3 separate regions of the Mus musculus genome follow, and regions 1 and 3 are each reported to be linked to region 2. The links are microRNA targets in miRTarBase. Many come from high-throughput screens and were not tested one by one. Region 2 holds a microRNA gene; each other region holds the end of a gene's coding sequence.

What was found. Region 2 holds the annotated microRNA mmu-miR-134-5p (UGUGACUGGUUGACCAGAGGGG, at 1,528-1,549, opposite strand). A microRNA usually pairs through its seed, bases 2 to 8, with sites in the 3' UTR of a target mRNA and lowers its output. Matches are read on the target gene's strand: a 7mer-m8 pairs with bases 2 to 8, a 7mer-A1 pairs with bases 2 to 7 and ends in A, and an 8mer does both.
Region 1: miRTarBase lists Fadd as a target of mmu-miR-134-5p. Seed matches in the 3' UTR shown: 7mer-A1 at 1,939-1,945.
Region 3: the mRNA of Dcx is a reported target of mmu-miR-134-5p. The part of its 3' UTR that is shown has no 7-base or 8-base seed match.

The regions. Positions count from the first base shown.
Region 1 is chr7:144,577,594-144,580,801 of GRCm38, reverse strand. It overlaps Fadd (Fas (TNFRSF6)-associated via death domain), which reads left to right. Exons shown (of 2, transcript NM_010175.6): 2 at 1-2,479. The coding sequence ends at 273. Among named protein-coding and RNA genes, the nearest start is that of Fadd, 3.2 kb to the left of the region's middle.
Region 2 is chr12:109,732,437-109,735,693 of GRCm38, reverse strand. Mir134 (microRNA 134) reads right to left here and starts at 1,555; the gene lies at 1,485-1,555. Mir382 (microRNA 382) reads right to left here and starts at 1,923; the gene lies at 1,848-1,923. Mir668 (microRNA 668) reads right to left here and starts at 962; the gene lies at 897-962. It overlaps Mir485 (microRNA 485), which reads right to left and starts at 792; the gene lies at 720-792. It also overlaps Mirg and Mir453.
Region 3 is chrX:143,860,816-143,864,072 of GRCm38, reverse strand. Dcx (doublecortin) reads left to right here. Exons shown (of 7, transcript NM_001110223.1): 7 at 466-3,257. The coding sequence ends at 522. Among named protein-coding and RNA genes, the nearest start is that of Capn6, 35 kb to the right of the region's middle.

The DNA of each region.
Region 1 (3,208 bases), not on the chromosome of region 2:
GCCCGCGAGCTGAAGGTGTCTGAGGCCAAGATGGATGGGATTGAGGAGAAGTACCCCCGAAGTCTGAGTGAGCGGGTAAGGGAGAGTCTGAAAGTCTGGAAGAATGCTGAGAAGAAGAACGCCTCGGTGGCCGGACTGGTTAAGGCGCTGCGGACCTGCAGGCTGAATCTGGTGGCTGACCTGGTGGAAGAAGCCCAGGAATCTGTGAGCAAGAGTGAGAATATGTCCCCAGTACTAAGGGATTCAACTGTGTCTTCCTCAGAAACACCCTGACAAGCCTACAGCTCCTCTCAGGAGTCACTGTGGACTTGATCACACCATGATGTAGCACCAAGTGCCTTTTGTGCCCAGTGCCAAAAAGACCTTGCTGATCCAGGGCGGGTCCCCTCCCACCAGCTCCTGGAGTATATCTGTATCTACGGAACCTCTGCTCCCTGGGCTTTCGGAACACATGAAGGTTCCCCGTCGTGTTCTCCACCACTGCTCCTCCCCCCCACCCCCCCAAGAGGTCTCTGGTCTTGCAAGAAGGAAGTTGAAGCTGATGGCACATGTGCTGACTGCAGTTTGAGAGCCTTCTTCTTGTTCCTTGGGGGAAGACACCATCTCAGTTAAGATCACTTGGTTGCCTTACAGTTGGCCAAGAGGACATCTGTCTCACATCCTTGGAGGCCATCAGACAGCAGCTCCTGACCCCCCACCCTCAAACAAGTGCAAGACCCCTGTGAGGACTGTGGTTTAAAGGGTAGCACCTTGCCTCCATGGTGGTCTGTAAGCAAGTGCCCTGGGCCTACCTACATATAGTGGCTCACTCTGAAATCCTAGCACTTGAGAGTTGAGAACTGCACTTTACAGCAGCCTGAGCTACAAATGAGATGTTCTCCCCAAACACACAAAAGCAAGTGCCTTTACCTGGAGATAACTTGTGTCACCAAGAATTTCTATTATATTAAGAACCCTTCTAACCTCAGAAATCCCTCCCATCAGGCTGACTGAGGTGTGCTTACAGCCCTGGGTGCTAGTTGTGAATGGAGTGATGTGATTTCCTTCACACCAGCAGGGGCCCTGACTGCCACACTTGGAGCCCAATAAACCATTGTCTCAGCTTTCTAACCTTTGGCTGGGTGTGATAATACATACCTTTGATCCTAGCTTTTTAGGGAGGTGGAAGCAGGTGGATCTCTGTGATCTATGAGTTCAAGGACAGCCTAGCCTACATAGAGAACACTAAGTAGAAAGACCATATCTCAAATAAATAAAAGTTCATGTCTGGAGAAGAGGATCTTAGCCACAGGTTCTCCTGACAGAGTGAAGAGCTGTACCTCACTGTCCTAACCTAATGTGGACTTCAAGTGACCAGCCTGGGGCCTGTACTCAAACACAGATCAGTCATTTCCTGGCACTTAGGTTCTATGCCCTCATTTCCTGCTCCCTGCTCCACCTATCCACCAGACAGCTGACCCCTCAGCACACTTGAACTCTCCTCAATCGCCTTCCGCATTGTTGGTCCCTCCTGCATTCCTTGGGTTGCACCCTCCTCCACAGCCTCAAGCCTACCATGTTCTTCAGCTCAGCATTGCTCCATCTGGCTGTTTGTTCAAATTCTTGGCCATTGAGGCCTCCTGACTACTCTGGGGACTCATCCTGTTTTCTCTGACCCCATTTCTCACCTGGCTGTAGCCACAATGCTCTTGACTCCCCAGACTATGCATAGGCCTGTATAAGGTGTCTGGTGGGTGTTCTCTGTCATTCTCTACCCCTCCCCCTTTCTCCAGTTTGAAGGGTTTAAGACACGGTTTCTTGTAGCCCAGATGTAACCTAGGTTGGCCTCAAGCTGAGTGTAACTGAAGTGACCTTGAACTCCTTTCTGATCATCCTATGCGCTAGGAAGCCTGGGCAACCCTACTGCTCTTGCTGATGCCTTTTAACTGTCCTGTGGCAAGTCACAGGTCGATGGGCTTAGATGTCACTTTTTTTTTTTTTTTTTTTTTTGGTTTTTCCAGACAGGGTTTCTCTGTATAGCCCTGGCTGTCCTGGAACTCACTTTGTAGACCAGGCTGGCCTTGAACTCAGAAATCCGCCTGCCTCTGCCTCCCCAGTGCTGGGATCAAAGGCGTGCGTCACCACGCCCGGCGTGTCACATTTTTTGTACAGCTCAGGAATCCAAAATGGCTCTCCAGAGTTCAGCTCAGATATGAGCAAGCTGGTTTCCTTCTAGATTTAAGAGAATGTCACTTGCTGTATTCCCCTCTTTAAGTGGCAGTATTGAGTTACTACTGTTGCAGGGCTTTTGGGCCACCAAAGAAACTTATCCCTTTGTACAGAGTCCCTTCAACCACGTTGGGGATTAAAACGCGGTCATCATCAGGGTGAGCACCCCACACATCTCTGCATCTCCCCAACTTGTGCCCAGTTTTGCCCTGAACACCTCAGCATCAATTCCTCCTGCTGCTAATAAAGGCTTGTCAGAGCTGCACAGCTCACAGGTGACTCTCCTTGCCTGCTCTTCACTCCTCAGCTCCCATCAGGGTCTTGGCTCCTACCCATCCTTTACCAAGCGTTGGAACCACAGACCCGCCTGTTCCTAGAAGCCAGCCGCCCTGCATATTTTTAGTTTCCTATTTTTGAATTCCACAATCATTTCTGAGTCATTCAGCTGACTGCCTTCTGGTCACAAGGTCCCAGTGTGAGCTGTGTTTCAAATTAGACGATGGGACATGATGTGATGGAATGTGTGATGCATCCACCATAGGCCATGGGCCTCCAGTAGCTGATGCAAAACAGTGCTGGTTTTCTGGGAGATTCGGGAAGCCCACAGAATCTTTAGTCATGTGCTAAGTGGATGCTTGCCTGAGGGATATCTGCCAGCAATGGGACTCATTGTCACCAAGGCTTTGCTCAGCCAAAGCCAAGTGAGAGGGCTGGAGTGTTTTAGGTGTGGCTAGAACAGGACAGCATGGTAGGCATGCATGTGGAGGTCTATGGCTCCCAGACTCCCAAAGCCTGAATGGACTGTAAAGATGAGGTCTGCTCCCTGTCCATCAAAATTTGATGAGCATACTGTCTTATGCCTGTGATCTCAACACTAGAGGCGAGGGGAGGAGGGGTCACTGCATTTTAAGACCACCCTGGGCTAAATAGACCTTATCTCAAACAAAAAAGGCAGGTGTGTCATGGCATATACATCTGTAATCCCAGCATTTGGGAGGAT
Region 2 (3,257 bases):
ATGCAAGCTCACTATGAGGCAACCTCCCTCCAAGTACCAGGGGATGGCACTTCTCACAGCACTCCTGCATCTTCTTCACAGGGGGACACCTTGGGAGTAGACACAGAATGGACAGGACTCTGAGAATAAGTGAACCAAGTGGCTTAAGTCCCAATCAGACCCATGCTCTCTGGCCAACCTCTGGTTTATGGGCCCCAAATAAGCGCCAAGAGGAAGGTGATTTTTGACTCGTCATGCAATGTTTACTAAGTCAAAGGTGGCAGAGCCATACCCACAGCAAACACAAGTTTGCAAGGCAGGTTGTCCTGGGGATGCTGGGTGAAGCTGAGCTCATCTTCAGAGACTTCACTTCAGGGTATGGAATGGCTACAGATAACTCAACACAGGCTCACAATGTTCCGGGTCCCATTCTAGTCTGTATCCTGAAGGTTAACTAGCCAAGGCTGCTTCTAGTTGTTCTTCCATGGTAGAATTAGGTACTAACCAAAACAGAAGCCAGCCAGTATGTTTAAACATTTAAACAGAATCTCCCAACAGTGTCTCTGGTCTTTCCAAAAAATCAGAAATGTCCTAGGAAGTCGTGTGTGGGTTAGCTTGGACACTGGGATAACTGTGTGAAATATACAATTGGATAAAGGCACTTGACATGGGTTTAGCCATCCAGAAACCCACCTTGGGAACAGTAGTGGCTTGAGAAGACCTCTGAGGCAGAGTTTGACACTAGAAGAGAGGAGAGCCGTGTATGACTCGTTTAGATGAATCGAATTCATCACGGCCAGCCTCTCTCCAAGTATCACACATGATCACTGGCGAAGAACACTGGTGAAGAACACATCGACTCTCTCGAAAAGGTGGCTGCTTCCACTGTCCTGTGAAGAAGGGGTGGGACAGCATTGGGTAGTGGGCCGAGCCGAGTGACATACACCTACATTAAGTGCATGCTCACCCGAGGCACACTTACCTGAAGGGGGATGGTGATAGCCTTGAATCTGGTTAGTCCTCCTGGACCAGAGGGGGCGTGGTTCCACAGTTTCCATGAAGAGAATGTATTCTGGAAGCTCCTGTGGTAGTGTGGCGATGTCGGGACAACCATGCCTGCTTCTAGAGGTTGGTATCATCTCACAGACTCTCCTGTAGAGACAGGATATTGAGGTTAGACAACTGGAAGATAGATCCATCAGATAAGTAAGGCACAGGCACATGCTTAGTAAAGTACAATTCAGTCACACACCCAGGAGAGAAGGGACTTCAGGTCCCTCATGGGAAGTCAACATCATGTCCACATCTGAAGTCAACATTTCAAGGAGGCTGTGACAGTGATGCAGCAGCTACCACGGATGCCTCATGGCATCTTATGTAAACATACACCCCTAAGACCACAGTTCATCCTGGTCCACTGAGCAGGCACAGCCATCAAGTCCATTGACATATCCCCAAACTTGGTAGGATCTCTGGAAAGTCTTCTTTGAGTGGAATTGATGCTGAGGGTTGGTGACTAGGTGGCCCACAGGGTGAACAGAGTGCACGCCCCTCTGGTCAACCAGTCACACACCCTGAATGGTGCTGGCACCAACATCTCTTCCGGAAGATGACCTCTTTTCAAAGTCTTGTAAGCTGATACTTGGGGGCAGAGCCACAGCTGCCTCACCAAGGTTGGCACGGCCCACTGATGAGAGGCCTACAGGTGGATCAGATGCTCAGGTAACCCGACCAGGTGACTTACAGCTAGCTCAAGCACACTGTCCGTGGCCAAACATCCATACTTGGCTTCTCTACCAGCTTGACTGAACCGCCATCTTTCTGCAAGTTGCCATCATGTCCAGGAAATCCTTAGAGGTAGCATTTGGTACTGAAAAAAGTGTTGTCCGTGAATGATTCGTCACAAGTAAAGCGAATCCACCACGAACAACTTCTCTTCAAGTACCACAGAAAAGCAGAGACAAGACAGACAAAGGGCCCCTTCCATTTCTCCAAGGGCTATGGTTTCCAACCACCAACCTGCAGGCAGATTGGATGCTGAGTGTTAGTGAGGTGGGGGCAAGTGCTCTAGAAACACACTGGAGTGGGGCAGGGGTGGTCACTCACCTCCCTTGCAACGATGCTGACATTGTCCCCTTTCTCTGTCTTCCTTGGTTCTAGAGTTCACACTGGAAGGTTTTCAAGATGAGAAGGGAGCCCACTTGCTGTAGGTCAGAAGTCCTCTGCAGGTATATAGACCCTGGGGTATGTGAATGGGGACTTGCATTTCTCAATGGTGCACATATGGTTAGTCACATCAAGGTCCTGAGGGGACTATAAAAGTCCCACTGCAGAAAAGCCCAACCAAGGCTACTAGCATCCTCATATGAATCAAGAGAAGGTTCATTGAGCTCTACATGATCCCAGGTGATCCTCCACTCCCACTGTCTCATCTCTAAGAAATCAGTTTCAAGAAGAAGAAGAAGACCATCACAAATGGCGTAACCAACTCCTACAAGCAACCTTGCACGAGAAGGACCAGTTAGCATTTCCAGATTCTAGTGGCTCGCCACTAGGAAGCTTCCTTAGGATAGCTTCCCAAAGCCCTAGTAAGAACCCATCTCTCACCCTTCCGTGTCCCACCTGCCTCCATGGTTTCATAAAACATATTTCACTAGCAAAGTCCCTTGGGGCTTCACTTCTTTTCCATGGCCCCACCTTTCACCGTGATGGAAACCTGGCTCTCTCCTGAGGACATGGAAAGTATTCATCTTATTTCCTACAGTTCTGGCTAGCAGGCGGTAGTACCCCACCTCTATTTTGTTTCCCAGTGTAACATTCATTTGTTGATGTATCATCAAGATCCCCAACATTGGTCCTATGACTTCCTCATTTTCTGTTACCCTTTCTTCCATCTTAGCAGCCTTTCAGAGCATCCAGGGTCATTGCCTTAGCTGAGATAGCCATGATAGCAGCAAGGATGCTCCCTGCAGCCCACCGAATCATTCAGGGATTGTGGTTCCACCAACATTACGGTTGTACTACTTTGGCCCCTCCTCTTCCTACATGTTCACATCTGATGTTGGCTCATCCAGTCCCTGGGTACACCGGCTAGCCCTACTTTAAGAGCACCCCCAGTCTCCACTCTTCCAGTTGGGAAGATTGCTCATCCTCGTGATATCTTTATCAGCTCTCTAAAACCTGCACAACAGCCCGCATGGATTCTCTTGTCACTGTTCTTGACCAATTTGTGGAGCATGAAGTTGGGATATTAATAAGAATTTAACTTTTGAAAAAAA
Region 3 (3,257 bases), not on the chromosome of region 2:
CCCATAGATACAGGTTTTTACAGAGTATACAAACTCAGTCATCAATATGTAGCTGGCCACTAGTATTCCCAGGAACATATATTAGAGAGATGTAAAGTTTCTATGGACAGCTAATTTTATGTCTTTTCCTTATAGGATTTCTAGATATTTTATTTGCCCCAACTTTTATACTTTTATCCCATTCTCTCTCTCTCTCTCTCTCTCTCTCTCTCTCTCTCTCTCTCTATCACACAAATAAGAACATGCCAGTCTGGTAGACATTACCTTTTAGGGGAAGCTGAGTAAAGATTATATTGATATAATACAGGGGTACCTCTTGACACACTTTTAAAGCTCCTTGTGAATGTATTAATTATTTTAAAAATAAAATTAGAAAACCACTATTTCAAACCTCTAAAACCATTTCAAAGCTCAACTTTTCCTTTACCAAGTAAAGGAAAGTTAACTTTGTCTCTTTTCTTACAGGACCTGTACCTGCCGCTGTCATTGGATGACTCTGATTCACTTGGCGATTCCATGTGAAAGATGATAGGCTAAATCAAAGCCTATTATTGTAGCAGAATACTTTCGCTCAAGTGACCAACAAGGCTATTGGTGCTTAAACATTTTTGTTATTGTTGCTTTTCAAAACACTCTGTAGTATGTAGGGTTTATTTTCTTGTGACTTCTCTTCTGGGCCACTAATTCACATTTACCAATAAGAGATAGATTGATAACCATCCTTTTGAGTGACTTTTCCAGAACTTCAAAGTGTGCTACTCCATGACCTTTCTACTGAATGCTTAGGGGCCTTTGTATTTTCCCCACTCAATTTGTTCAGAAACTAGTCTTCCTTCTCTGGAAGGCTGTTTACATACACATCACTTAAAATGTTTATGTGTGGGGAAAACTTTCATATGCAGATCTAAAAGCGAAAAACCTAAGTGTCCCTTGCCTCTGTATCTTCAGAATGCTGGAGGATCTCAGGAGAGTGGCAAGTCAGATCCTTGGTCTCACTCTTTGCTCTTAATTGAGCCCCCAGTGTATTGTCTAGCATTCATCCTGGCTGTTGAGATGGAGAAACACCAGCGACTTTTGATGTGACACCATGTGCTTAGGGCTGTGGTATAGGGCTGTCTGAAAGATATGAGGTAGAATATAGGGGGAAAACTGCCCAAATTTCAGTAGGATTTGTATAAAGCACAGTGGATTCCTGGTTAACCCCTCTACTGGGGAAATTTGGAATCAATCAATTGATTAGTTTGGGGTACATGATGTCACATACATGATCCTTCCAGGAGGCTTTCTAATGTACAAGTTAGTACATGAACGGTATGGTATCCATCTAGCTCTGTTCTATTGAATGCCTTGTAAACAACCAACACTACAAACACTGTGAGAATTTGTTTTCAGGTCTGACACCTTTTGGTCGCTTTTTATAGCAAGAAACCATATCCTTTTTTATAAAAAACTCAACTCTGTATTTCAGGAGCAAAACTCTTCAGGCTCCTTTTTTATAAGCTGGTGATTTTTTTCCTTTGTCTAAAAAACACAAGTAGAAAATTGACCAAAAAAATGCAGAAGAATACTGTAGTTTAGAAATCATGCTCTCACTGCCAAACAGAAAGCTCCGGGAGAAAACACAATGACTAGAGGCCAATTCAATAGAATCAGGTTTTTGATACCTTTTTAACAGTTACACTTACAGTAATAATTTCAATGTGGACCAGACATTCTAGTTATATTTTAAATGAAATGTTATGGCATATTTTAAGTAACTCTTTTTTATCTATAATCCTAATATTTCATACTTAAGATGCAGAAACCTTTCACTTGACTTTAACATTAGGAAGGACTTCTCTTTATTACGGATTGATCACTTGAAATAACTCTGTCTTTGAGGTACAGGTTTATAACATTGCTTTTTCTCTGTATTCATAGCCCATAATAGCCAAGACAACGAAAGTTAGGTGAAAGCCATGCATGCCAATTCTGTGTTTGATTTGACGAGATAGGAAGATTTCCTTCACTTCTTTGTAATTGTTCAGATAGTTTGAAAGATGCAGCATTCAAAGTTTGGCTGCTGAATGACATGCAGTTGTCCCTCCATTCTAAGTAGAATGAGTGTGGGGTTCATTTGTGTGTGTGTGTGTGTGTGTGTGTGTGTGTGTGTGTGTGCTCGCGCGCGCATGCGCAAGCACGCCTAGGCTGCTTCATACTTAGCAAATACTGCACAAGACAACTCAACATGAATTGATGACAACTTGGTGGCATTGCTGATGTGCAGGGGGAAGTAGGATGGCAGGGGTACCTAGAGCCCCCTTGATAAATTTCAGATGTCCTTAATTATGAGATTCCAAGAAACATTTTTGCTTTTGGTTCAGCAGAAGGGGGATGATGAGAGCTCTGGTTTCTGCTTACACTGCTCATTGAAGAGCCCAAAATCATGAGGTTTTGCTCCCCCCCCCTTTATTGCTATGCCCACATGAAATGATTAAGAAACCCATTTTAATCGGCCCCTATTTTTTTTTCTACAAGCTCAGTGATTTCTTAGTGCCTCCCAGAACATTTGAGTTAATTAGGGAAAATTGGTTATTTGGGATGGATAGAAATTGTGGTAGGAGATCTATTTTTAACCTCTGGGCCAGATCCTCCAGCACACTCTATGTTGTTCTTTGAGCAAATCCCATGTTGTCCCAAGTATTCATTTAAGATGAGACATGGAGATTCTACTGAAAGAGTGGGAGCAAAGAAATTTCAACAGTCCCTATGCCCAGGCTTCTTGGTAGTTCTCTGAGCATTTTTCTACTTGTAGTATAATATAGCACTAGAAAATACTATGGACATATCTTTTTTAGAATATTCTTAGAACAGACATTCTTGTATAACAACAGTGTCCTTTCTGTTTTTCTTTGTGCTAACTACAAGTAAACCTTTAACAAATACTTTTCCTTTATATACAGGCACAGATACATACATATAAGAAAACTTTTTTTTACTGCTACTTCGTGTGGCAAGGGTTGGTAAAATTGAAAACTCAAGTCTCCAATAATTTAGTTTTAAATTGGCTCAAATTCAAGTAATTTTTTTCAGAACTAAGCTCTTACATCCCCCGTATTCTTTCTCAGTTTTTCCTAATCCACTTTTACCACTTTAGTCCCATCAAGTTCAGCGTGCATGGTCAGCAAGCATTTGCCACTATTTTCCATAACACCCCCTCTCTCTTTTTCCCTCCTCCTCCCTCCTTCTCTCTCTCTCTCTCTCTCTCTCTCTCTCTC